Linked DNA regions of Medicago truncatula. The protein of the gene in region 3 interacts with the protein of the main gene of each other region in a pairwise test. Links are inferred from orthologs where the notes say so. Each region holds a gene or a part of one and is shown on either strand. Other genes may lie near its edges.

Region 1 (7,459 bases), on a different chromosome or scaffold from region 3:
CCAAACGACTCTTTAGACGTGCAAATCATCTCAATGTCTCTTTCACACCTCTATATAAAGGAGTGAAGACTTGAAGATTGTAGATAGAGATATACAAGTTAAAAAGCGCCAAAACTCTATCAATTTGATTCTACAAAGCACACTGAATTTCTGCACTGATTTGATACATCTTAGAAATTCAAAAGTCTAGAGTCTTTAACGTATTGTATTGTGAACACCACTGATTGTATATCAAGTGTTCAAGTCAAACTTATTTCATAGTATTTTTGTTTGATTAGAAGCCTCTTGCCTGCGTGCTTGAGCATTAGAAGACTCTTGCTTAGTACTTGAGCATTGGAAGACTCTTGCGTGTGTGCTTGAGCATTTTTGAGAAGTCTCATACTTAGAGAGTATTGAGCATTTGTAATCTTTGTGATTATAGTGAAATCTCCTTGGAAGTGCAAGGGGGACTGGACTACTTCCGATTTGTGGAAGGAACCAGGATAACTGCTTGTGTCTTGCTTTTCTTTTCTCTGCTTTGATCTTTTCCGCTGCATATCTGATTCTGATCATTTCATCAGAAGCATTCACAAACTGCTTCTGAAGTTTTATCAGAAGAAGTATTTTTTAAGAGAGAAAAAGAAAACACAATTCAAACCCCCCCCCCCCCCCCCCCCCCCCTTCTTGTGTTTTTATCACCTTCATCGGTGTACTTTTTTTTAATGAATGTTTCAGTTTTACTTAATATGGTTCTTAAGAATACCTTCAGACACAATTTTCAAAACGAGACCGGTCGTCGACTCGATAAAGTCACTAGACCACTCGATTGTTGGTTCAACTACTAGATCATTGGTTGAACCGTATGACTACCGGATTAAACCGGATAACTGGAATGTATAATCCGGTCTCTATAAAAAAGGTGTATTTCTATTAAACCGAGTTAGATCAATCTCAAAAGGGTGGAGAAAGGGTGGAGACGTACGCTGGGGAAAGGGTGGAGTTATATCTGGAGTATAAAAAATATTCAATCGATTATGGGGGAACATGAGGAATTATTATTGAAATTCAATGCCAGCACAACTTTATCTATATTGATTCGTTTTACTTTAAATCAAACCACTTCAATACTTTTATAAACAACATGATTAAAAAATATGTCAATACAAACTTAAATTAACTAAGAACGGTTTGTGTGGATCCATATTTTATTTGTTTCATAAACCCGAGATACTTACTTACCACTGTGTTGGAGAAATTACCAGGTTTACTACTTTGTCATTTCCCCATATCCCAATAGTGGTATAAGAGTCTTGTTCGATGAAGGGTTTCACCGACTCTTTGTTGGATGAAAAAAGTTGTTGCTTAAGGGAGAGCATAATGAATGCAATGGCTCACACCTGAGGGGAAAAGTGAGGGTTAAATAATATATAAGTGAGATGATCAATAAATCCAAATACCTTAAGATTTTAAATTAAGATATATTATCTAACTCACTTGTATGTTTCCTCTTAATCTAATGGTGGATGATCTTTCAGACTCACTTCATGTCCCAACATTTAAGAAGGTTACTTCTATATCAATTTTAGCATTACAGGAATTCCTATCCAATTATTGGATATTAGGTGGTTATTGGAGCTGGCATTTACATCATTTGCATACATCATCCAATGACTAGAGATGAAACATGGTTTTCTTAACTTTATTAACCTCGTAATATAACTTTGGTGTCTTACAAAAGAATAGAGGAATATGATGACATCTTTATACCCATACTTTTGTCTCTTTCTTTTGTTTCATTTCCTATAGCTAGTTGTTCATAGTTATTCTGCTAATCATATTCAATTCAATGTATCAACCTAATTTGTTCTTTTTTTTTTTTTTCGTTTGTAATGTCTTGCCAAAGCTGATTCTAACTGTTTTAGATCTTATCCAATCCAATTCTTCTAATGGACAAGTAGTGATTTTTTTTTTTAATAATATGATTTTTGAATCGTGCATTTCGAGGATTTTTTTTACAGATGCATTACAACATATAAAATATGAATATTTTATTTTGAGCGTGAATTGCATTAAAATAAACATTTTTAGACAACTGTCGGTATGTTTGTGTATGGTAATATTCATAGGATACATAGTTTTTTATAAAAGAAAAAAAGTTTGACATAAAATAAATATGAGATGATAAAATTTATAATGTAGAGGATGTACTTTTATTAATTGCTATTGGAGCTAGAGAATGTGTCGGCAAATGTTGACTTTGAGTAATGTGCAGGCAAAATGTCTACTCCATGGCTTAGAGGGTACAAAAATTGGCACCATTTAGATGAGTTTATTTAAGTTTTATTTTTTATATAAAATAAAAAAAATTCATTAAAGTAGACACAGATGAATTTAATTAAGTTGCAGGTGAGTTTGAAGATTCTTCTCATATATGTTTAACAAATGCTTATAGCATAAGATAAGATTTTTATTAGGTAAGAAGAAAACCTGGATATTAAACTACAAGGTGAAGGTATATAATATAGTTATCTTATTATCACTTAAAATAGTTTAGTGTGGCCTTTATTAAACTGCCACGACTCACAAGTCTTTTTTAAAAAATTATTAAAATGGGCCAGTTTATGTAACAACAAAAATACCTATAATAAACAATGCTGCTTTTGGGGTTTTCAAAACTTTGATAATAGTTATTTTTGTGAATTATTTGTGCTGAAACAAAAAGAAAGACAAACAGTGATCATAAACCTTTGGTACAAATAAGTCCAACAATTTCGAAGTTGGTAGCCATCCAGCAAGGTAGAACACGATTTCAACCAATAGGACATGAACGTTTTTTTGTTTTTGTTTTATTGTTTTTTTAAATTGTCACTTCAAACAAGGTAAATCATATGCTTGATTTATATTTAGTTTATCGAATAATGAATAATCTAATTGACCATTTCACACACAAAAATTTACAAGTTTAAGAGATATACTTTTACTAAATTACTCTTATCTAAAACCAAATTTGCCGCCATCGTGTAGCTTAAATCACGGGTGGTGTGACGAGGGTCTCTTTCCTCAGCACCACCACTCCTTTCCGACATGAGGTTGCTCTCTTTCCTTTGGTGGCAGTAAATCCGGAGGTTTAACCCTCTTTCGTCGCCTTTCCTTTTGGCCCGTCGTCATTTACAGGGACGTGGAGGTTTTCTCTGTCTCAAATTCGTTTGGCAGGGTGGTTTGTGGTTCTCTTTGATTTGAGGCAGATTTGGTCATTGCAATCAGATTCTCTCATTTTTTCAAACTTTTTCAACCCGCACCAGTGGTGTAGGAGCGCGCTTCTGTCAACGTTAATTAACGTTGGTTCGTATGTTGCTTTTTTTATTTCGTTTGGTTGGACCGCTGGTGTTGTTTTGTGGTTGTTGACATTTGTGTGGTTTTCGTGGGTATAAGAACGTTTGGTATGTGTTGTTGCTTTCGTTCTTGATCAGAGACCGGATGTTATAGACTTGTGGCCTATTTTTTTTATGTGATTTGGTTTCAAAAAACCGAAAGGGTCTGGTTCTGTCAAACCTGTAAGAGTCTGGTTACTAACGTATCGTACACATCTCTCGATCCGAGTTCTTATGCGTCTATCTGAAACCGGCAGTGTTTGGTGGCTGGACTTCATTGACACTCTCTGATATTTCTAGATCTGTTGATATCTGCAGGTTTAAAGTCGTCTTGTTGGTGCTTGAATTTTGATATGGAGTTGGTGGTCCATCCATTCGCCGAACTTAAACCTTAAATGTACTTTGCAAATATTCAATTTTCATATTATTTGTAACCTGATTTTGCGCTTGTGCGGGTTTGCTGAGTTTCTCTTGTACGCGGGTTTGTTGAGTTGCTCTTGTGGTTAGTAAATTTTTGTTAGGATAGGTTATGGTTGATCACTATGTCTAATTTATATTTTTGTATCCCCGTTTAGATTGTACCTAAGTTAGGTCTAATGTCCCTCCCGTCTCCATATCTCTTTCTTTTTTAATTTAATTCTCCTTTTTTACTATTAAAGAACTATACTCGTATTTTTGCTATAGAAAAATATAGTCGCATTTATCATTACCTTAAAAATAAAAGTAAAATACATACTATTTTTAAAATGATACAAATAGTATTAATTAGATATTACATTTAAAATAATTAATTAATATTGCGTTCAAAACCAAAAGAGTGGTTCACACAGTATATAAGACAAAGGGAGTATACATTTATTTGTGCATGAGATGTCAGCTTAGTATAATAACTAATAAGAGCTTGGGTTTGTAACAATAATAAATATTGTTCAAACTCTATGCTTGAAAAATGATTATTTTTATTCTTTAAAATAAATGATTATTTTTATTTATTGTCCTTTCAATTAATAATAATAACTTTTTCATTCTCAGTTTTTTATTTAAAATAATATATTTATTTTTGTTTCAACTCATTTCTGGAATAAGTTATGCAAATATATTGCACAATCATAAGTATTTATTCCATTATATATACCAATATGCTTGTGCACTGTTTATAACCCAAATATCCTATCTCCTTTCTCTACCTATATTTGATCTCTCTATAGTTCTTACCCGTTTTTTGGGAACTTAAGCTTTCAATTAAACCTATTTAAACTGAAATTTCTTCAGAAAAGAGAAGAAGAAAAAAAACCAAAATGGGATTCCAGCTAGCAGAAAAAGTACAAAAATCAAAATACAGAAAGGGATTATGGTCACCTGAAGAAGATAACAAGCTTAGTAATTATATAATGAAGCATGGTCATAGCTGCTGGAGCTCTGTCCCCATTAAAGCAGGTGCGTTTCTTTTTATTTTTTCTTAAATTTATAACTCCTTATCAATTATATTTGTAGCATGTTCCTCATATCTTCAATGAATTCATAACTTCATTTGTTTTCTTCAAGTGAAGTTTCTCTTCATTTTACTTGATAAAATGTTCCTAGAATTTATTTGACCTCAAATTAATAAGTCATCAAACATAAGGTATGCTTCACTTAAGTTGGTACATTGAATAATTAAAAAAATATATATTTTGATGAATCGGGGTAATTTACGTCTATGAAAAAAAAAATAACATTTTCTTCATTTTTATTCTTAGAATCAGTTATCATTTTCATCTCAATAACATTATACTTCTTCTTCATCTTCCTTCAACATGTGATCTTCCCCTCATTCGTTCCATAATCGAATCCTACTTGTCTTTAAGGGTAAATTACCTTCAATTCATCAAAGGAAAATGTAAGCCTCATCCATAGTGCTTTTTCTTACAATCAGTACCATTTTCATGTAGAGAACATCAAACTTCCTCATCTCTTTCATTCAACATGTCATCTTTATCTTCTTCAGTTCAGAATAAAATCTTACTTATCATTAAAGGTAAAATATCACCAATTCATCGAGAGGTAATGTAGGTTATCAATTTTTATGCCAATTACAAACATGCTACAAAAAATTGATTGTGATTAACCTACCATCATTTATTACAAATGTGATAGAATTTGGTGTGTTTGTATTTATTTTAATTGATGCTACTAATAGTTCTACATTTGATAAGATAAGATAAGATCTAAAAATATGATTATATAGATAGTTAAGTTATAACCAATACATCTTCTGAGAGTGTATGAGAAGAGCTCCTATTTATAAACACATTTTCAGACTATTTTAGTCCAATATTAAGACTCTTAACCGATGTTGAGGTGCTGACATAGTACATTGAAAATCCAGGCTTGCAAAGGAATGGAAAGAGTTGCAGACTAAGGTGGATTAACTACCTGAGGCCTGGATTAAAGAGAGGTATGCTCAGCAAACATGAGGAAGATAAAATCATGACCCTTCACCAAATGTTAGGCAACAAGTAAGGATGAACAACCTCACTTTTACTTTTATAAAATTTTAATGCTATAAAATTATTCTAGAAGTTATTTGAAGTAAAAGTATTAATTTTATAATTTTATTTATGAAATAGTTATTATGCATTGTCCCTTGTTATTGTTATTATTATTAATGATTATAATAATTATAATTGTGACTACAATTTAATATTTAAGCCAAGGGGTTGTTAGTGTAAGTAGTGCAAATGATGCAAGTTAAAGAAAATACTTTTGTCTCGTTTAATTGTTTTGATGGTTTTACATTAAATAATGTAATTGGATGTATGCCAGCTAATTCCTACCATAAATTAATAAATGGAAAAAATTGATAGGAGTCAAACCATGACTTAGCATTCCCATTTTTTTAACATAATATACAAAGAAAAGACATATGGTCTAATATTCCTTAATTTCTTAAATCAAATCAAGTACAGCTCAATATATTTTTTTTAAACTTTTCCATCACATACAATGATTAATTTACAGTCAATTAAATATTATACATTTCAATATACTTCCCAATTCTTTTTTGTCAAAACAAAAAAATATATACTTCCCTATTCTTTCTTCATAATCATAATTTTGTTACGAAATGAATTTTTTAAGACTCGTCAAAGGTGAGCTTACACCCTAAAGTTTATATGATGTAATATGATTTCATCTTTGTTTTAAATGGAAGTACACAAAATTTGATGGTAAAATTGCTCTTTTATTTTTTTTATTTGTGTGTAAACTTGATAACATAAAATCACAGGTCAGTTCCCAAATTTGGAATAGAAAGTCAACACTACTTTTACAATCAATTTGTTGAGAGTTGAAAATGTGCTATTTTTGGGTGACACTTTTAACATGCTACATGTTTGACATCTTTATTTAATTTCTTTCAACTCTTCAAAAACAAAGAAAAAAAAGAATAACGACTAGTATTATATTACCAAAAAATAAAATAAAATAAAATAAAATAACAACTAGTTTGTTTTAATATAAACGTGGATAATTTGTATAAAAGTAAATGAAGAAATACCAACTATCTTTATATAATTGTAGAAAAATCTGGTCAATGTATATTATGTGAATAATACGCATAATTAAATTAGAACGTAATTTTAGACTTATCAAAACAACTTAACTTGTATTGGTCAGGTGGTCTCAGATTGCACAACAATTGCCGGGAAGGACCGACAACGAGATTAAAAATTATTGGCATTCATATCTGAAAAAGAAAGAAGTCAAAAGTAAGGATATTGAATCTCATACTCAAATTCAATATGCTAGTTCAAGCTCAGATACAATGAACTCCTTACTCTCAACTCAAAAATATGCAATTCAAGATCCAAAATATGTGTTACCAGAAAACATTAACAAATCAACAGCTACAACACACTCTGATCAATCTATTTCAAAGAATTATAACACTGCCAATGAAGTTTGTCACAGTTCATTACCAAAACTTTTATTTTCTGAGTGGCTTTCACTAGATCAAGTAAATGGTTGCAACTCTCTAAATTCAGATGATTCTTTGGTCTTGAAAAATGGCTATGATCAAAATTTAATTTTTCAAGAAAATGTTATTCAAATGCCAGAAGGGCAGTTTG
Region 2 (7,294 bases), on a different chromosome or scaffold from region 3:
AGGTTGTGTCAAGGTGTTGTTTGCAGCTATATGGATAGAAGTGAGGGATCAACTACTTGATTGCCATATTTCGTTAGTAGATATATTTTGGAAATTAAGAACCTGAGAGAGTTATGGTTGTTTGATTTATTTTGGTTCTGATTATTTGGATAGTTAGTCTGAAATAATGTTCAGTCTAAATTGGAGTTTTCACTATGCAGGTTGGTTTGGGAGATTGCAGTAGAGGAGTAATTCTTGTGTGGAGAAAACATGTACCATGGGAAATAATAATTTAATGAAGATATGGAGGGATGGTTGTTTGGGCTCCTGTTTGGTTTCTTAGGGATCAACTACTTGATTGCCATATTTCGTTAGTAGATATATTTTGGAAATTAAGAACCTGAGAGAGTTATGGTTGTTTGATTTATTTTGGTTCTGATTATTTGGATAGTTAGTCTGAAATAATGTTCAGTCTAAATTGGAGTTTTCACTATGCAGGTTGGTTTGGGAGATTGTAGTAGAGGAGTAATTCTTGTGTGGAGAAAACATGTACCATGGGAAATAATAATTTAATGAAGATATGGAGGGATGGTTGTTTGGGCTCCTGTTTGGTTTCTTAAAGTGAAGTACACTGGTTGTGAGAGGTTGATTGCCTCTATTGGCTGGTTGCAGTATAGGTGTTATACTTGGCTTGCAAAATGGTTTAGATGTGAATAGCAACGGATAGAAGGCTGTGAGGCTTGGGATTTTGCAAGATTGCAGAATTTTATCCTTGATACTTAATGTATTCCATAGTTATCAATTATATAGGCTTCGAAGGGGATAGTTCTTCTTTTGCTACTTATTTGTGCCAATTCCTGCACAGTTTGGCAGTGTGGCTTTTAGGTTGTGTTCATGATTGTTTGGTTTGATTGGTGTGTATTTGCACGTATCCTTTTTGTATTGTTTGCTATCTTCCACTTGTGCATGCTGAGTTTTTTTAAAAAATTTAATAAAATACTTAACGCAAACACATGTTGCAGGGAAAACAAAAACGTTGAAATATAGGAAAGATTGTATCATTATTTGGGGTTCATTCGAACAAGGCACTACTAATGTTTCATATGATGGAAATTGGGTTTAGTTACGGATTATATGTGATTAACTGGGGCCATAAACTACAAAAATAAAGGACAAAAAGAAAGGTGAATGGTGTCAAAAAGATACTAAATGCGGTTGCCATAATTACTGTTACTAAACCAAAATGTGGTCCCAAACTCTAAATTAACGCACCACTGGTCCAAATTTTAAGCTATTACGGATTTAACAAGATTCTATTACTGAGAACGGAATTATCAAAATGCAATTTTTTTTTAAGGAAAATAATCAAAATGCAATTAGATTATCAATTTAAAACCAAAAATAAAAGAAAGAAACAGAGCCACTAAGTTCCAAGACTACAACTCAGCTACAGTCTACCGCCACGACTACAACTTCCAAGAATTAAGTTTTTTATTATTTAATTTTAAAAATTAAAAAACAAATTTGTAATATACTACTACCCAAGAAAGAAAAAAAAATGGAAAAAACATGCTTGCAATCTTACATACATGATCCCTAATATATATGCTCAATGTTCTTATAACAATTATCAATATTTTGGTAAATTGGAATAAGTACCTTAAATATTGCTTCAAGTTTTCCTTATATCCTCTTTTCTGAATCTGTTAAGCTCTAACAACAATATTGCAGCAACCTACAAAGAAAAGGAAAAAAAATTATAAAAGACACAGCAAATTCAATGCAACAAACAGAATTGAGCTTCAAACCTATGTTATTGATGATGATAAAAATACCAAAGGTAAATAGAAATACTAAAATATACTCATACTGAATAGGATGTATGGTTTTCTTACCAATTGACTAAGCTAATCTAACGCCTGTTTAGCAAGCACAATAAGCTAGTTTATAGTTGATATTCTTATAATTTTTAAGTTCATATGACTGATAAAAACTCTTTGATAACCTCTTTTTCACCAAATTATAAGTTATTTTTAATAGATTTTTTATAAGCTAATTCAAGTAAATTAAAGCTTATAGCATATCTTTACTTGAATTAGCTTCTAGCATATCGTCCCCGTGAGCATAGCTCAATTGGCAGGACATGCATTGTTATATGCAGGAGCCGGGGTTCGAACCCCATACATCTCATCCAATTATTCATCTTGAAAAAGGTTAATTCTAGGCACCTGACCAAAAAAAAAAAACTTATAGCTTATCTTTTTTTTTTTATCTTGATTGAAAAAATTAAAAATTAGTTGAAAAATATTTTTTTTATAAGTTCATTCAAATTTCAAACACTGATTTTATCAAACAAAACAAATTCAACCAGGTAGTGCTATCACTTATCCGTTAAAAGCTCATCTGGTAACATATCACCATTCCAATATCATTATTACTTTAGCGAAAAAAAAGGCTTATTAGATTTTTATTTCTTAGATTCCAAAGTAACGTAAAGAGCATAATCATCAAAGATCAGCATCTTTTACAAGATTAATTAATAGCACAATAAATAATTCAGATTAAGGATCAAGATACAGGATTAACTAAGTTCAAATCAAAACAATATCCAATTTCTGCGGAGTATACAAAGAAACATTAATAATTAATTAATAAACAAAGTAGAAACTTAGAGAATTGAATAAAAGCTTACGTGAGTGATTTGAATTTCAAGTAGATTAAGTTGATCTGATCGAATCCAAAAGCTGAAACCAAAGAGCTTCTTCAAGTCTTCAACTATAAGAGAATCAATAATTGAATTGAATTTGAAGTGAAAACGCAAGAAGAAGGAAATGAAAAATTTGAAAAACGGAATTCACTGTTACCTCTGTGAGAGTTGAAAAAGAAGATGATGAAGAAAAGAAACTTGGAGAAAGAGAGTTAGGAAGAGGTGTTGAGTTAATGCAAGAGAGACAGATACAGAGACTATAGTTTAAGTTTACAAAATATTAATAATTTGTTTTTGTAAAATAATAATAATGGAATTGAAAAGTGGCTTTGTTTTGTTTGGATTAGAGCGCTCTAAAGAGACGCCAGCACTTTTCATCTTCAAATTTCATGAATGGAATCTTTGGATTGTTTATTCCGATGTTTGCCCCCTCTCTTCTCTATTTATTACCCATAATGCCATTCATTTTACTTGGGCGGGGACATGCCGACGTGTCATCATCCTTATTATTTTGAAATTTCTAGCCACTCCAGATCAATGTAATTTGCATCACATAAAAAAGTCTAACAAATTCTAATTCAACTTATAAATATCAAAATTGCAAAGCCGGACGTCGTAATTTAAGTTTAAACCTAGAACCTCATAGTTGTATATAAGTTTAATTTCAGTCAAACACCTATTATAGTCATAATCATACAACTTTAAAGATAAAGTTACTCTTTTTATTTCATAAACAATACTCCCTCCGTCCTAAATTATAAGCAAAAAAAAACTTATTTTCTTTGTCCTAAATTATAAGCAAAACAAACAACTTTTATCATATTTAATTATCTTTTTTCAAAAAATCATCTTTTCCAAAAGAAAATTAAATGTAAAATGCATTCAATTTGCTCTCTTTTTTATTTTCTCTATAATCAACTACCAATGAAAATTATAATAGTTTAGATTTAGATCCTAGACGTTTATGTACTGAGTTAATTTTTCAACTAGAGTTTCTCTCCTATTCTCCCTAGTCTTTAGACTACAAATTCACCTTTACAAGTTACTCGCCTATATACTACCCCTAGTCCTTTACAAGTTTAGGTATTTAAGTTTTTGAACCAAAAGGAGAATTAATTTCCCTATAATCTGATTTGGTTCTGAAGATAAGTGGGTCGATCGCTTTTGATTCGAGATCGAGAGTCACTTCTTTGGTTCAAGTTTAGTTTTGGACTTTTTTGGTGTTATTTCGATGGACTAGAGGTTGCGCGGTGGTGGAAGCGGATTGATATTTGGAAAAGGAGTTCTTCAGATGTGACTCACTTTTGGTGATGAGGACTGGTTCCTCTTTTACAAGGGTGTTCTTTTGAGGTGAGTAGTGGTGATGAGGGTTATGAATGTCGTTTTTTCAGTGGTCAGTAAGTATATGAGTCAGTTTTAGGGGGTGATGTTTATTTTGGTGGGGGTTGTCCTTATGAGTGTCTTTATTGGGTTTTATTTTTGGGTGTTCCGCCTATATACGACATCTTTAGTTTGTACCTTCTCTTAGAAATCGTGGTTCGCCCTAACACACCCCCCACAAATTCGGCTTGTGAGGTGAGGGTTGCCCCCACTTATCCCCACATTGGGACTCTTAACACACCCCCTCACGACCAGCACTCTTGGGCTTGGTTCATGGACATAAATGGTGGGTGGCTCGATAGCGGAAACCTGATAGCAGGTGGCCCAATGGATCTTGAAGAGGCTCTGATACCATCTTAGAAATCGTGGTTGGGCCTAACACAACCCACAAAACCGGCTTATGAGGTGAGGATTGTCCCCACTTATAAACACATTGTCAGGTCATCACCTATTCGATGTGGAACTTTTAACACCTTCTGTAACATCGGTCTATGTTCGTCTTGTGCAAAAACCTGATTTTTAATAAAAAAAAATTGCTGATTCAAAAAAAAAAATTCCCTAAATATAATATTGTATGTAAAGCTAGTTTCCCTAAAATATCAAACATAATACTAACATTGATATTTTTTCTAGTGAATAATATCATTAATCTATTAGTCTCTCAATAATCTTTTGTACCATATATTATATAGAAATGGAATATGTGGTCTTAAACAAACTTGTCTATTAAAATATTATATTGTTGGTGTTATTAAAAATGATAAGAATTTATATCATATTTGATATTCCCTCTCTTTCAAAATGAGTGTCACTTTAGCAAAAAACATTGTTCAAAATGAATGTCACTTTACATTTCTAATACAACTTTAATTTTTTTTCTTTCAACTTTTCTCTCACACAATTTTCAATCCAACTTTAAATTTGTCTTTTTCTTATAAAGCAAAGACAATTTAATAAAAGTATTATGTCTAATGATTATTTCATTTTATTCATTAATTTTTTATGCAATTGGCTAAAACGACATTTATTTTGAAACGGATGGAGTATATTGTCGGTATCATGAAAAAGATAAGTATATATTATTACTATCATTCAAAAATATAAACACGATTTGTTACAATTCAAAAGTCATAACTCACAAATACCTAACCTTATATCTAAAGCAAATAAATAATTCAAATTAACATATAAGTAATTCAAATACAATCCAAAACTCTATAATTCAAGTACAATTAAACCCAATAGAATCACGGTTCGGAAGTAACAATGTCAATAATAGAATCAAAACAGCAAAATTATTACTTAGGAACAAACAAAAATTGCCAGAAAGGTGCAGAATACGATGCCGCGAAGATCCCCTTTACCATGTTGTGTTTGATCTGTCTCCAGCTACTCCACGTAATCACTAACTGGACCTTTTTCATGCTCATGCTCTCATTGTTCTGTAACGAGGCAGTTTCCTCGTGCCGGCAATTACAAATCACGTGACCAATTATTGTCACCTTTTACAGCTTCATAATGTTTTTGTTTTTGTTTTCGTTAATGTCTTTTCTTTTTGGTCCTTGACATAGTAAGTTTAACTATTGTCAGCGAACACCAACATATGCTCCCTCCTTTCTCAAATGTAACTAATTTTTTACTTTTATTTTCTTAGGTTCATTCAATAAATGATGTACATAATCTATAATATAGACCACATATATTGTTTATTGAATGAACTTAAAAAGTAAAAAGTTGCTTACATTTGAGACCGGAAGAAGCAGATTCAAGCATGTGAATAGAATCCAAGCATGGGAATAAAATTAGTAAATAAATATTAAGGTTGTATTTGGTAACACAAATAAGTTAGCTTATAACTTGTTGGACAAACTTATAACCTTATTTTAATAGCATTCGATGTGTTTGGTAAAAAACTTTTTTTATTAGCTTAATTATAACGTTTTTAAGAAGCTAATGTAAGTAGTTTTTGAGTTTTTAATTTTTAACTTTTTACATTTTCTTTCATTTTTAACCTTTAACATTATTTTATTATTTTTTATAAACAAAAAAAAATTGGCCACGTTAAAAACAAGCTACCCACGTTATTATTCTTGAGACAGTAACCGCTGCACTACCTCAATGCTTTTTTTTTTTTTTTTTTTTAACTTAATTGCACTTTTGGACCCCCCTATCTTTTCAAAAGTTGCGGTTATGGATCCCTAATTAATTTAAATACAAAACAGCCCTCTATGTTTTAATTCTTTGACAGTTTTGGACCCCAAGGCAAAAAAAAAAAAATTGACACGTGGCACCTCACTTAGGGTGCCACGTCAGCGTTGACCGAGTCAACAATGGACTGGGGGTCCAAAATTGCCAAAGAATCAAAACATAGGGGGTTGTTTTGTATTTAAATTAGTTAGGGGTCCATAACTGCAACTTTTAAAAAGATAGGAGTTCAAAAGTGCAATTAAGTCTTTTTTTTTAATTGATTTTATGTTTGAAACGGTTTCTGTTAAATTCCTATTACTTATATAGCATCTTTTTCTTTTTCTTTTCGTATATTTACCATATTAAATAAAACATACAAATATTTTTATTTATTTTTTTCAAAAGTAAAAAATAAAACATACAATTTTACAAAAAAAAATTGAAAGATATAATTATGAAGTTGAGCAAATTTAGTTAAAAAAATATCTCAATGAAGTTTATATTTCATATTTATAATTTTCTAGAGGAAAAATATTTATAATTTAGTTAAAAATGTTTATATATTTTTTTAGGTGAAAAAATGTTTATACATATAACTTATATAAATTAAACATACATGTACTTTTATGTCATTTCATATTTATTAATTACTTAAAAAGCTAGTTTTACAAAACATTTTAATTTTAATAGGTTCTGATACTATTTTAGAAATTATAATTGATCTTAACATAATCCCACAAAACTAGATTGTGAAACGAGGATTGTCATCACTTATGAACACATGTTCAAACCCAATTTTGTCCGAAATGAGACTCTTTTAAGAAGATGATTTTCTGAAACATTAATGTGGGAGGTAATCTAACCTCGAGCTTAAAAAATTGGATGTCTCTCCTGGATTATATTTCCCCACACTGTAATTTTAGCATATATATTTTGATATATTTTAGGAAGGAAAATGCAACACTAGTAACCCTAAAAAAACCAAATATAATAAAAAAAAAAATTAAAACTTGTGTAATTAAATACTTAAAAGTGTAAAAA
Region 3 (7,655 bases):
TTCTTTCTCAAATGCTTTTTATCTCTTATTACCGTCTTATCATAGAATCCCATAAAATTAAATTAAATAATACAAACATGTGATTAAAAAACACATTATCCCTCGGCTCTAACTTATCTGTTGCAGGTGTTTGGTGGTCTTGACGAAATGAGAATTCTTTTTGTTTCTCAAATGCTTTTATCTTTTATTACCGTCTTATCATGGAAGCTCGTAATATAACTCTTATCTTTATCTCTTGCATTTCTAGTTCTCTACGAGACAAGAACATAGACGGATCAAATGGAATTCCTTCAATTCCTCTTGCACCATTCTTAATGTTGATTGCATCATGTCTTGGCAACCGTGTCAAAGTTGGATTTTATGGTTTGCTTCATCATCCTTCCGTGATATGGATCTCTAGTTTCTCGGGATTTCTTTCAGAAATTTAATATTCTTCATGCTTAGCTCCATGCTATTCATCAAAGACTTTGTTGACTAAGCAATTGGATTACCATGACATTATTTGTTTCATTGATTCTCTTCATTCCATCGATATACTCCATGATCAAACGCCAAGGCTTCACAAGTATACTAAGATCTTCTTCACTAATATATATTGACATGTTTGCATCACTCATATTCTCTAAGAAAATAGTTGTGTAAACATCCTTAACTTGAAGCTTCTTCTAGCATTGATCTTATGGTCCATCTCTTCCATCCAACCGGCATCTCAGACCTCCTCTTTACAGACTCTATGGAAACTTAGTTATGTAGAGCTAAATTTCTCTCTTTTTTTTTTCTTTTTTTTCTTTTTCTTTCTACTTCTTTCTCTTTAGCTTTGTAACAAAAAAACATTAAATTAGAATTTTAAAAAAAGAACTAAAAAACCTAATCCAAGTACACCTAACGTAAGCATAAACATCAGACAAGAAATTGCCCATTATACACACATTTTTACGGAGTCATCTTAGAATTTTCACAAAGCTAACCACCTATTTCAGATCCATTGCATTTACTATTTTTTTAGGGACATCCATTGCATTTACTCGATTCTTTTGAAAACTTTTGAGTTTTCTCACCCTTTTCCCTTTTTCTATAGTACTAGGTAAATCTTATTTTGTCAACATCAAATGAAAAATATTTAAACATACACAAATGAAAAAATAATAATAAATAAATAATATGACTAATACTTTTATTATTTGTATGTGTGTTTAAATATCTTTTATTTATACTTGTTAAAAAAATATTTATACTTGTGATCAAATACTCCATCCGTTTTAAAATATAAGAAATTTTACATACATCGTTAATTGAATGAACTTAAAAAATAAAATTTATTTATATTTTACATCGTTAATTGAATGAATCTAAAAAGTAAAATTTACTTATATTTTAAAACGGAGGAAGTAAGATTTGCTCCAAGTAGAATACTCCCAAACTAAAAAGTTGACATTTAAGTGGAAAGCAGAATCAACAACTTGGTCAAAGTCAAAGCATTATTTAATTGATCCCAGTGAAAGGGAAATGCTACAGTTTCATGGAAAGTGGCTCCACTCATGTCTCAAAGACTCATATCAATGGAGTTATGACAAACCACAAAAATTGTTTGGAACAAATGCTATCAATGAGCAATGTGATAGTGGGTTTAAGAAATTAATCTTTAAGTTTTTTATGGTCCTGATTTTGTGTTCAAAGGCGGATTTGGGCATAGAAATTGTTTGCTTTTGCTGTGTGTGTTTATATATATATATATATATATATATATATATATATATATATATATATATATATATATATATATATATTATTTTATTAATTTTATTATTTACTTAACTTTTATTTAATTTTAATCTCTTGTTTAAAAAAAAAATAAAATTTTAATCTCTATTTTACAAATTTTGTATAAAAAAATTGTGTTTTTACCCCCTTTACCCAATAGGTAATAAACAATGTAGTCTCTATGAAAGCTACATGGAGACTAAAATTCATTTTAAACTTATATCATAACTAATTTGAGAAACTTGATTTCACTTCCTTTAAAAAAGAGAAACTTGATATCATTCGAATTTTTATTTATAAAATTCACTTTAATGATAAACATATATAGATATCAGTACAATAGTAATATAATATTAAGTGATGATTGTTTTCTTTCTTTATGAATGTGAAATTTTTATTTTATTTTTATAAAAACATTAGACATCAAAACTAAAATTTTATTTTAACAAAACTCAATATGAAGACCTGAAGCTGACTTTTCTTTTCCATTTTGTGTTGGAAATGATATTTAAAAACAGTGTAATATTTACTGTAATGTGAAAATCAAATTATATTGTGAAAATCTTTAAGCCATTTCATTTGAAATTTATATATTTTACATCACTTTTTTAGAGGACCCGCTCTTTTTTTAAAGGCACCATGTGAAAAATCATACTCCTGTCCACGCTATACAATTAAGTAAAAAACAAGTAAATTGAATATAATATTTTTTATGTATTTTTTTGTCAAAATATTTTTTTATCTATTAGAGAGGGTTTTTGTTTTAGTCATTTTTAAGTATAGTAAAGAATATAAATGAAGAGAGACATTTTTTAACACAAATAACTTACATTTATAAATGAAAAAAAAAATTATGGGCCCTCTTATCCACCGAAGTAAGAATATAAATGAAGAGAGACATTTTTTAACACAAATAACTTACATTTTATAAATGAAAAAACCATCTCCTGTCAAAAAAAAAATTATAAATGAAAAAAAAAAACATTTATGGGCCCTCTTATCCACCGAAGTGTTCCCTTAACAGCCCAGTTTCTGCATGTAGCCTTCGCTCGTATGAAAATTGCTTTTAAACACCTTGGATTACTCACAAACACCTAAAACTTTCAAAAATATCATCACTAGGAGTTACGAACCGTTCACCTGTGAACGGTAGCCAGGGATTGTTCGAGATTTTGTCAATGGTAGTTAGGAACCGTTTTCAATATACCTTTGCAGGTAAATTATGTTATGCCTGGATGAAGTTATTGATATGCTTAAAATAGCTCATGAAATATGCTTTTTAAGCATTCCCATCAACACAATCGTCAATCACCATCACTTTTAAAAACATAACCGATCTTCTGATTATAATCACCGTACAAATTCGATATCATAAGATTAAAATTGAAATTCAATGTTATGATTTACAATTGCTATGTTCTAATCGTAATTTTCAATAGAAGTATTTTCGAAAGTTTAAAGTCATTACAAACAATCTAAGGTGCGTATTTTTCCCTCGAATAGAATGAGAGAAAAACCAAACAAGCTATCAACCTTAGGAAAAACCCAATCACATTGTCGAAGAGATACTCCTCTTATCTTAGATAACATCATCTTTGGGGACATATTAAATTGGTACGGTCGGAGTGAGGTAAACAACTAGCATCACTTATGTATGTGGTCACAAGTGTTTTTTTATGTTAAAAAAAAAGTGTTCTTATGTTGTAAATTTTTAGTAGTTACACCTTTTATTTTGTAATTTATTTTAAAGTTGTAATTATTTTATATTATTGTTTTTACTAAAATTTTTTAGACACGTTTCTTTTGTTCGGATTATTTTATGGTTTGCAACAGTTGAAGCAGCAAGTCTACATTGTAGGTATGGAGGTTAGAAAGACACAATCACTATTTTCCTTATACTCTATTTTGTTTTATTGAGAGTCAATTTACTTGTGCTAATATTTCTCTTTGATTTACTACTTAATGATAATTATATTTCATTTTTTCAACATGTGGTACTCCATATGGTACGAAATCTGTATATGAGACATGTATCAATATATTCATCAATTTGTTATGCATGAGAAAACACATGGTTGAATTTAAAAAATGGATATCAACATGGAAGCCGTTAAGTGCAATGACATAAGCTAAGGTAATTTGGTGGGGAAATTCTTAAGAGTTAAGAACGTGTTTGTTTAAATGAAAGCATGAGAGATTCCAATGGTGGATGGGATAAGAGGTAGAAGAACCATACTTCTCATTCATCGCTTCCCATATTTATTCCTATCTAATCAAACAACCCATTCTGGTTTCAAATTTCCTTCTATGAACACATGATTACCTTAAGTAGAAACTCAATAATTTTAGATTAGTAAGAATGCAATGTAAGTAGATATGTATTATAGGAGACGATCTCATTTTAGATTACCTTAAGGAGAGGATCTTGACCTGTATTCTAGAGAGTATTGCACTTCGCATCTTGATGATGTAAAATCTTCTCATTGACCAAATTTCTTTGTTAGATTCATACCACAGTCCACACATACATATCTAAAAGTGCTTGCTCAACATTCTATTGTCATGCATTATACCATGTGAAGTTATGTATGTTCATCTACTCCTATACAATAATGACAACCAGATGTCATTCCAAAACATGAATTAAATCACGTCATCACGTAAACTTAGCTCAGTTGATAAAGACAATATATACTATATATAATGTAAGAGGTTTTAACCCCGACCACCACAAAATACACTAACTTCTATTGATTAATTTTTACTTACATTTTAGGACGGAGAGAAGACATATTTTCTCCATCATTAATTAACAATAATTCATAAGAGGCCAGCATTTTGTGATGTAGCTTATAGCATCAAATCAATCACGTGGAAATATCTCACCCTCACAAACATCACATTCCTGGACCCACTTTCTTCCACTCTAAACCCGCTTCTCTTCAAATCACCACCACACGCATCAAAACCATTTCATCTCAAAAACCTCACATCACACCATGGAAGAACACTCCGTCGGACCACTCGTTCCCGCCGTCGTCAAACCCGAACCATCCAAAAACCTCTCCACCACCGTAACCGTCACCGGCGACATCGCCGGTGGAGACAATTTCCCGATCGCAACTATGACGGAATTAGATAAAGACTTTCTATGTCCGATTTGTATGCAGATTATCAAAGACGCGTTTCTTACATCTTGTGGTCATAGCTTTTGTTACATGTGCATTATTACTCATCTTCGGAATAAAAGTGATTGTCCTTGCTGTGGTCATTACCTTACCAATAGTAATTTGTTTCCCAATTTCTTACTCGATAAGGTTCGCAATCGTAATCACAATCGCAATTCGTGTTCATGTGTTCTTCGCTATGAATTTAGTAACTGCTAGTGTTTAATTGATAATTTGCGTTTTGAATTGTGATGTTTCGGTTTTGGAATTGCGTTTAGATTAAGATTTAGAAACTACTTGAGGCTTGTTTGGATTGACTTATTTGAGCTTATCTAATGACATAAACACTTGTGAGACTGCTTGGAAAAACTTTTGAAACAGTTTACTACACGTTCATAAGCTGTTTTCAGTTTATTTTTGTAAGTTTTCCAATATAGCAAATGAAAACAGCTTATAGCTTATGTGAAAATAATTTAACCTTATTTTATTTTTTGTTGCAGAAATAACTTATACATATGCACTTATTATGATAATCACTTATACTATAAGCTACAAGTTAAGTTGTTTTCCAAACATATGAATGAATTCGGTTTCACAATGCTTGTTGTTTAATTGCTAGAGATTAATTGATATTTTGCATTTTGAATTGTGATATTTCGGTTTTGGAATTGTGTTTGAGATTAGATTTATGCCTGTTTGGATTGACTTATCTGAGCTTCTCTACTGGTATTAGTTTTATGAGAATGTTTTGGAGAACTTATAAAAACAACTTTCTGACAATTTTCATAAGCTTTTTTCGGCTTATTTTAGTAAGTTCTCCATATAGCTTATGGAAATAGCATATAGAAAAACAATTTAACTTTATTTTATCTTTTGCTAATGTAAGCTTATACATAAGCAGTTATAATGATAAGTGCTTGTGCTATAAGTTGCAAATAAACTGTTTACCCAAATAGAGCCTAACACCCAGGAAATTGCTTGTTTTATGAATGAATTCGGTTTCTAGCTCATTGTTAACGGTTTCTGTACCAATTTGTAGCTACTAAAAAAGACGTCGGATCGTCAAATATCGAAGACTGCTTCCCCCGTGGAGCATTTCCGGCAGGCGATACAAAAGGTTGGTTGTACTCTTGCTACCTGTATTGGTTTGCAGTTTGTTTTGTGGTGACTTATACCTTTGTTGTTGTTGATCTTGTTTTACTTAATAATTCATTTTTGCTTCTAGTTTTATTTCAAACAATGAATATTTCGTTTTGAGTACAATGTGGAATACATGACCTATGTAACATCTGCATTTCGGAGTCCAGTGTATGACACATGTCTGTATCCAACACTGATACAACATGTATGTGGTTACACTGTATCAATTCCATTTTTCAAATTATTACCGGCGTCTATGTGTCGGTATCATTGTCGTATCCGGTATCCGTGTTAGTGCTTCACTGTACTTGACATGATATGTATGGGTTTAACAGGGGTGGTTAAACAAAACTGGATTAACTTTTAACTGTCGTAATTCCTTTGTTTACCATACTAATTGTACAACAGTGAGAGGTTTTTGTTGCAATAGTAGGCTGTTTTTCTTCTTCTGTTTTTTGATAAAGCAATAGCAGGCCGTTGATCGCGCAGTTCACGTTCCACTAAATTATGAATATAATTCTACAAGAAGTTTTGATGTTCCAGAAAAGATAACGAAAGAGAATGATACTAATAGTTCCCCTGTTCTCGGCCTCTAATCTAAAGTTTAAGGGAGGAATGCTGTATTGCCTGCAGTGCCAGTTTCTTGTAAGAGGAAATATAATCTGATTCATTAATTTACGTCATTCATTTGTTGAGATGATTAAATAAAGGCTTAATAGCAGTTTTAGACCCTTAACTTTTCCAAAGTTGCAATTTTGGCCCCCTAAGAAAAAAAAACTACAAAACCACCCCCTAAGTTTTGCATCTGTGGCAGTTTTGGCCCCCAAGACCAATTTGACTCGGTCTACACTGACGTGGCACTCTAAGTGAGGTGCCACATGTTATTTTTATTTTTATTACAAAAAATTGGCTTTGGGGGGCCAAAACTGCTACAGTTGCAAAACTTAGGGGGCGGTTTTGCAGTTTTTTTTCTTAGGGGACCAAAATCGCAACTTTGAGAAAGTTAGGGGGCTAAAACTGCTATTAAGCCTTAATTAAAACAGTAGGCGTTAGATCAAAGTAGATGGTTAAGAATAATACTATTTTAAATTGCAAGTCACTGTTTCCCATGCTACTTTTTTCTCCTCCTCTCCTGCCTTTTCTATCAACCGACCGTCCGTGCCAATAAATAGGAAAACAATTTATTTTGAAGCCTAATGTGAGAGGAGAACAAGGGCCATCATTCTCTGTTCTAATGGAAAAGTGCACCTCATAAACAATAATACCACAATTTGCATCATTTTTCCTTTACCCTCTTTCATGTTTGACAGAGACAGTACAGAACCAAACCTAAAGGAAAAAAATTAAAAACAAAAAAACAAAAAAAAACAATGTATAGTGGATTTTGTTATGGGGCGAGTGGTGAGTTCTTGGTGGCTGTGCTCGTGATTGTGAATCTGGTTGGGTTATTGGAGCAGAGTCGTGGGTCTACTATAGTCTATAGCCTTGATTTGTGAATGTAACCAGACCCACCTTCACCCAACCACAATAAGTAGAACACCAGTGCAAGACCCACCATTTTGACAACTCCGTGTAGTTTTCTGAACG
Region 4 (6,951 bases), on a different chromosome or scaffold from region 3:
AAAGTCAAGAAACAATTTTTAACTTTTTAAGAAATGAAATGTACAATTTTCAATATAAAGTTAAAGTTTCTAGTTTCTACCTTTATTGTGCCTTAGAGGTGTTTGCGAGTGTTGAGTTTTATAAAAAAAGGGTAAGATTAAGTCTATACTTTGATATTTTAAAAAAATTAAAAGAACTACATAAATATGTATTTTTTGGTTAAAAGAACTACATAAATATATAATATCACCTTGTTTTGGTTGGATAGGTGGATGAGTGATGTCCCACTTTGTGAGACATTTCATAGCTTATACGATTTATCTGAAAATAAATTATCTACTGTGGCATAAATGTTTCATTGGGGGTGGGATGTGGGTGGGGGAAGCTTGGAAGTGGCGGAGGAAGTTTTGGGTGTAGGAGGAGGAGCTGTTAGAAGAGTGTAGACTTTTATTGTTAACAGCTATGCTGCAGGTTGATTCTGCTGATGCTTGGAGGTGGACCCCTGACATAGCCAATGGTTACACGGCTAGTGGTGCTTACCGCTTGCTCACAGATACGACGCATATCAATTACCAGATACTGCTGAGGCTTTTATGGAGGAAGGATGTGCCTTTGAAGGTTTCAGTGTTCACTTGGCGTTTGTTTCGCAATCGATTGCCTTCAAAATCGAATCTATTCCGTAGAGGCTCGATATTGTGTTAGTGGTTGCGGTCTTCATGAATTCGAATGCCATTTAATCGCATCTTGTGCTTTTTTCGGATATCTTTGGCAGCTTGTTAGGAACTGCTTTGTGTTCACTCAGCGGATCCATCCCATATTTTGGATCACTTCATTCTTCGACTTCTCTACAGGGTACGGTAAATCTAGACGCTCTTTCATGCATTTGATTTGGTTTGCTACAACTTGGGTAATTTGGAAGGAATGCTAGAATTTTCCGAGGCACTCAGGGTTCTCATATGCAACTTGTGGAGAGTGTCAAACAACTTTCCTTTATTTCATTGTTGTTGAAAGTTGGTTTGTATCTTGTGAGTGTCTTTTGTGATACACCTTGTGCTTGTACCTGAAAGATGACTCTCTGTTCAATATATCATTTTGATTTCTTTTGTTCATTTAATTTCTTTTTAAAATAATTTTAGATTGATATACAAGTTAATTATTTTATTACAAACCAAAAAAAAGTTAATTATTTTATTTAAAATAAAATTAAAGTAATCTTTGTACCAAAAAAAAACAATCTTGAAAGTTTTATAGTTGTTGACAACAGCTAAATAGGAAGGGTGAAATAGTTAGCGATTGTGATCAGGAAGATGGAGGGAGGAGGATCGTCAAATGGAAGGAAAGGGTATGCGTGGGCAGTATCTGCTGGATTGAACGCCGCTCTTGCAGCCATCTTCGCTAAGTTCACCTTTCACATCTTGATTAAGTACGGGTTCGTGGTATTCTTCAATGTAACCATGTGGTGTTGTTATGTCAACAGTCTCAAAGCTCTCTCTTCTCTTCAAGCTACTGTCACCAATTTCGCTACCAATTTTATCTCTTCTGGTTTAGCCGGTTTCTTCTTCTTTCATGAACATCTCTCTTTCCAGGTAGTTACTATTTTTTTTATTTTTTTTTTCCTTTCAATTTCAATCTTTACATATTAATTACCCTATTTGTAACTAAAAATTGAAATGGTACCAATTTCATGATTATGACCCTTAATTCTGTTTTTATATCACACTCAGTTTATTTATCCATTACGTTACATGTAACGTGTGTTCCAACTGCTTAATGTGGGATCGAGATAAACCAAGTATCATGATTTGCTATTACGGGTACATATGAGAGAGAGGATCCAATTTATAGTTTTGCTGTACTAAAAATCAGAAAAACTATTGGTTGGTTCTAAGGGAAAAATAAAATTAGGGCTCAAACAAAGTCTAAAGAATCTGTGGTTGGTTATTTGCCTTTTATGTTTTCAGTTTATTCATTCACACATTTTTTGATGCAAAAAAATGTTTCACAGTGGTTTGCAGGTGCCTCACTCATAATAGTTGGTGTAATAATACTTAGCAACTCAAGTATTGAGAAGAAGGTTAGCGCTGATTAGAAGTTGCACTTGAGTATGTTACCTTTCATGCTTGCTTGTTACCGGCCAAAGCTAGCATCCGCAACTGCGTGAACATGAACTTGTAACATCAGGAATGATATAGTTTGATCTTCTGCTGAGCAGTTCACCACTTCACCTCACATGAAACCTGCTGAACTAGTCGCTTCTTGCCTTTTGCCAAATTAACAACTCTCTTATTGTTTTATCCATTCATTTATGTGGTTCTGTGGTTTAATGTAGTTGGTTTGAGATGAATGCCAATATTTATTTACGTGGTTCTCTTATTTATTGTCTCTTTACTGTTATGATTTTATGACATTGGTCTGTTCATGTGTTCTCTTTGGTTATTTTCTCTGATTTGAATTGGACAGCTTTGGCGCATTTTTTTAGTACAACTACAAACAGCTTTGGTACATTTAGAGTAGCTTTGTTATGGGAAATTTTTCATCAAAAGTGTTTCTATTTGGCTGGAATTTGACTTATGGATTTGGAATGTAAAATACCAAGAATCAAAATGGATGCAGTAGATGTTAATCTGGTGGTTAAATCCGTTGTATTGCGGAGACTGCGTATGCCGGAGGAATTGGAGGATCCTGAAGGGGTTCTTCCCCTTGATCCTTTGTTATGGCAACAAGTTCCTTCAATCTTTGGCACTTAGTGCTGCGGAATTGGTTGTGACATAAAGGTGACGAGGTCATGGGATTTCCTTATTTCTTCTTCATTGTGGGAGCAAAGTACAAGAATGCAGAAGTAGTGGTGAGGGAACTGGGGAGGCCCATGTGGAGAGTTGAGTCTTGGTACTTATGGTTGCAACCCTGATGATCTAGGGAGGCAGAAGCGGAAAGACTTGAGTTTTATCAAAGGGTTTGTAAGATTTATTAGATAACCTTAGTTCCAAACTGTTTGATATGTAAGGAGGAAATTTCTATTGCAAAAATCTGAGATTATAAGTTGTCAAATCTGTTGGTTATATAAAATTTGGGGAGGTAAAGCCATCACAATGGAAACGCCAATATTCAAGGTCTTTTAACGAAAAAGTTCATGGGATTAATAATTTACACTGCTAGTGCATAAGTATGTGAGATTAATTTTTATGTACTAAAAGTGTGCTCCCTCCGTCCCAAATTATAAGAAAAAAAATCACAAAAAACTAAAACATAAGAATTTAGAGTATAGTTTTGTGTTTTCTTTGAAAAAAGTTTTACAGGAAGATGTAAAAACAATTTTCATTGACTATTGGTTATGGAAAAAATAAAAGAGAGAGAAAATTTAATGTAATTTTATGAGAATAAACAAAAGTTTTTCTTGGAAAAGAGATTTTTTAGAAAAACAAGATTAAATAGGATAAAAGTTTGTCTTTTTTACTTATATTTTGGGACAAAGAAAATGAGTTTTTTTTCCTTATATTTATAAATTAGTTTTTAAAGTATTCTAGAATAAAAACTACGAATTATAGCTTCAAGTACAATCAATTCTGGTGGTAGAATCAATTCTACTCGACAACAATCAAACATGTCAGAATTAAATCTACACATTCAGAATCAATTTTAATCCCTATGGAAGTAGAACAAAACATATTATTTTGAAATGTATTATTAACCTTATATCCTTCACCCTAAAACAATAAAAAAATTACGAGTCATTTAATAAAAAAACATGCCTCAAACTATAAGTTATTTTATAATATCAATAAAACATTAATGATTTTTTTTCTCTCTCTATAATACTTACTATTTACTATTGAAGACTCTGTCTTCTTTCAATTTTTAAATTTCTCTTTTAAATACTATTAATAAATAATAATTTTGTAATATTACTCGTAATTTCTCTTTCTTAAAAAAAATTAAATACATTTAAAATTGTCAAAACCGTTATGAATTTATCCCAAATATTACTACTTCCGGTGTATTCTTGTTGAAAGTGTTGATGGTGAAAAATGTCTTAGTAACAACAACTTGAATGAGTTTGATATTGATTCTTAATGAGAGAAAAACATTGATTACTGAAGAAGAATAGATGAGCTAAACGAAAATTGAATTGGGAAATAGGGTTTAGGAGGTGAAGTGATGATACCAGGTGGAGGAGGAAGAAGTTCAACATCATCATGGGCACCGACAACCTCAGTGTCTGCTTCTGGAAAGAGAATTCAAAGAGAAATGGTTGAACTCAACAACGACCCTCCTCCTCATTGTTCTGCTGGTCCCAAGGGTGATAATCTCTATCACTGGATCGCCACCATTATTGGCACCCCAGGTTCACCATCTTCACCATTCAGCTTAGGTTGTTTGGGTTCAGATTGAATTTATCATCAATTTGATTTTTTGTTTGTAGGAACACCTTACCAAGGTGGCATATTCTTCCTTGACATAATATTTCCTACTGACTATCCCTTCAAGCCTCCCCAGGTACTAATTGGTTCTTTTTCTAGAATTGCTGTTTGCTTTGGCATGTGGTGGAAGAATGTTAGCATGAAATGAAACTTTATTTTTATATAGATTTAATCTTTATACGTTGTCGGTATAAAATTATTTTACTTGTGCATCTAATAATGTGATTGAAAATATGAGTTGTCGTATTCATTAATTAACGCAACAACACATTATTGGATGCATGTGTAAAGTAACTTTACACTGTCAGTGTATAAAAATTAAAATCTTTTTATATAATGAATGCGTTAAGTTCCTTGAAGTTAATGCTTGTTACTGATTGACATAAAAGTTGTAATTCTATATACATTTAGTTTGGTAAGGCGATGGGCTTGTCTTAGGCTTATATTGTGCACCACATTGAGTAAAGCTAGAGAATGAATTGATACTTAAGCCATAGGATTCTCCCACCCAATAGGCTTGTCCTTTGGGATGGACTCTTCTCTAGAGCTCAAGTCATACAAACACTTGATAGTTTTATTGAGAGCTTGCCGTGTAGGATAGGTAAGCAAAATAGGAACTAACAGGAAAATGGCTACCTATACCAAAAGAGTCAAGAATGAATGTAATCATGGGTGGTTAGCCAGAATGCTCTCTCAACTCATGGTTAGTCTTTTGGGATGGTTTTACTCGTGGGCTCAAGTCATAATTCTTAAAGGCAAGACCAGAGTAACATCCTTCTCGGGGAAGCCAGATTAATGAAGTGAACTATTCTACAGGTATGTATCACCCCTTCTATGGATGGGGATACCAAGCATAATTCTTGGAAAATGCATAAAATTGTTTTTGTAATCCTTCTCTTTTTCATAAAGGGATCCGTGTTGTTAATCCTAGTGGTGGGGAGCAGTCGACCCCTAAACCGCTAAAGTGGGATAGTAGATAGAGGGAAAGCCTCTATTGTGAAGACTAGAAAGTAGTTTAGGAAGGCTTCACTTTGGGAAGTTTATGGTTGACATGATACCAGGGTTGAGTAGAAACACAGTAGAATTAAATGAGGAGCAGAGAACAGAGGAGAACACGGTAGTCGTCACCACTACCATAAAACCTAGTAGCCATTTCTGGAAGAAAACAAAGAAGGTAAGGGAGCAAGTGTGTCTTCGGATCTTCACAAAACGGAGGTAGGAGAAAGTGAGTTTCACTTTCGCATGGTGCAGAACGGCCGAAGCTGCTGACCAAGAATACTCAGGGAAAATGACCAAAAAGCCGAATAAATCTAGTGATCAGGGGGTGAAAGGGGCATTTAGCATCAAAGGTGGCTGTTGTGGCAGTCAAACACAATTTTCAGTCGAAATAGCTACCCTTGTATAATGCCAATGTGACATACCAGCTGTAAGTGTCGCAGCTGCGCTGCTACAATTCCATTATCACGTGTGATCACCTGCTATTGACAACATAGATAGGGATAGTGTCGTAGCTGATATTACAAGATATTTAGTCACTGGGTGGTCTGTTATTGTGTTTAACAAGTTTGAACTATTGAATCTTACATCCTCTTATTTGAGTCCATTCTCCCACTTTCGAAGCAATAAACAATATATCATTTTGTATGCATTTAACTAATATTGAGTGAAAAAAAAGGTTATTCACTGGCTTGAATGCACATATTTTTTTGCTTCTGATTTGATATAGGGAAAGTTCACTGGCTAACTGTTTTGTTCAAGTTCATGTCATTTGAAGGAGCTAACTGGGTCATTGGGAACTTTAAGTTGTATTTCAAGTAGAATTTAATAAATTGGTTACTTGTATTTGATAGAGCTGGAAATGAGAGTTTAGGTGTTGATGACGTGTCTAGTCATCCACACCGTGTACCCAAAATATGGAGAGTGTATGTTAGGAAAAATAGAAAGAAAGAAGAGAATGATGAGCTGGCAGAAAAGGGGTGTGATGCGTGACTCACTTCTGTTGTATTGGGATTGGGGTAGTGGAGGAAGGGGTCAGAAAAAGAATTCTGTTAGGAGCAGAGATTTGTGATATTCTCTGAGTCGGTGAGCATAGCTCTCAGTTGTATCAGGAAGTTTGCTTCCTTTGCTATTTTTCCTTTCTATGATTAATGAAACCCTCTCCATTTTATCTTTTCAATACTATTTGATGCTGTTACTGTGATTGATAGTGTTAGTACCTATCAGTATTTGTATAAAATGCTTGTTTTTTTTTTCCTTCTGAGAAAATTGCTGTTACCTTCCCATTATGTAAATGTTCAAGTACAGTCCCTTTATTTTCAAAGCCTATAAACTTCCTGTAACATGTCTTCTCTCAACTTTTCATAAACTTCTCTGTTCGAAGAGTTTGGTATAGGTTTAAAAAATAAAAAGGCAATATGCAGACAACAAATAATTTATGTGGAGGTAAAAGTAATTTAATTGTTGTGTATTGCCTTGTTAAATTGAACTAGCAGGTAGTCTTCAGAACTCGCATTTACCACTGCAATGTAGAACCTGATGGCCGTGTTAGTATGG

What was found.
Region 1: the proteins of E3 ubiquitin-protein ligase COP1 (region 3) and transcription factor LAF1 interact in binary tests that used the Arabidopsis thaliana proteins (3 or more experiments, as listed by UniProt). The link is inferred for Medicago truncatula from reciprocal best matches to the Arabidopsis thaliana genes COP1 and LAF1.
Region 2: the proteins of E3 ubiquitin-protein ligase COP1 (region 3) and COP1-interactive protein 1 interact in binary tests that used the Arabidopsis thaliana proteins (3 or more experiments, as listed by UniProt). The link is inferred for Medicago truncatula from reciprocal best matches to the Arabidopsis thaliana genes COP1 and CIP1.
Region 4: the proteins of E3 ubiquitin-protein ligase COP1 (region 3) and constitutive photomorphogenesis protein 10 interact in binary tests that used the Arabidopsis thaliana proteins (3 or more experiments, as listed by UniProt). The link is inferred for Medicago truncatula from reciprocal best matches to the Arabidopsis thaliana genes COP1 and FUS9.

Annotation. Positions count from the first base shown.
Region 1 is NC_053047.1:21,466,526-21,473,984, forward strand, and holds the start of transcription factor LAF1, read left to right. Parts: upstream 1-4,442; 5' UTR 4,443-4,648; coding exon 4,649-4,787; intron 4,788-5,237; exon of another isoform or gene 5,238-5,315; coding exon of another isoform or gene 5,316-5,367; intron 5,368-5,718; coding exon 5,719-5,848; intron 5,849-7,007; coding exon 7,008-7,459. UniProt on the Arabidopsis thaliana protein: Transcription factor that promotes photomorphogenesis in the light by participating in the transmission of phytochrome A (phyA) signals to downstream responses. Probably acts by activating expression of light-induced genes.
Region 2 is NC_053049.1:45,925,517-45,932,810, reverse strand, and holds the start of COP1-interactive protein 1, read right to left. Parts: upstream 3,007-7,294; 5' UTR 2,844-3,006; intron 2,755-2,843; 5' UTR 2,672-2,754; intron 1,715-2,671; 5' UTR 1,639-1,714; intron 1-1,638. UniProt on the Arabidopsis thaliana protein: Positive regulator of abscisic acid (ABA)-mediated signaling pathways involved in abiotic stress responses (e.g. osmotic stress) and leading to various plant adaptation (e.g. stomata closure).
Region 3 is NC_053046.1:37,990,081-37,997,735, forward strand, and holds the start of E3 ubiquitin-protein ligase COP1, read left to right. Parts: upstream 1-4,636; 5' UTR 4,637-4,760; coding exon 4,761-5,078; intron 5,079-5,967; coding exon 5,968-6,045; intron 6,046-7,655. UniProt on the Arabidopsis thaliana protein: E3 ubiquitin-protein ligase that acts as a repressor of photomorphogenesis and as an activator of etiolation in darkness.
Region 4 is NC_053049.1:39,599,829-39,606,779, reverse strand, and holds the start of constitutive photomorphogenesis protein 10, read left to right. Parts: upstream 1-3,945; 5' UTR 3,946-4,135; coding exon 4,136-4,322; intron 4,323-4,400; coding exon 4,401-4,474; intron 4,475-6,890; coding exon 6,891-6,951. Other genes in the region: uncharacterized protein, read left to right, coding at 1,288-1,566, 1,986-2,069. UniProt on the Arabidopsis thaliana protein: Component of light signal transduction machinery. Involved in repression of photomorphogenesis in darkness by participating in the CDD complex, a complex probably required to regulate the activity of ubiquitin conjugating enzymes (E2s).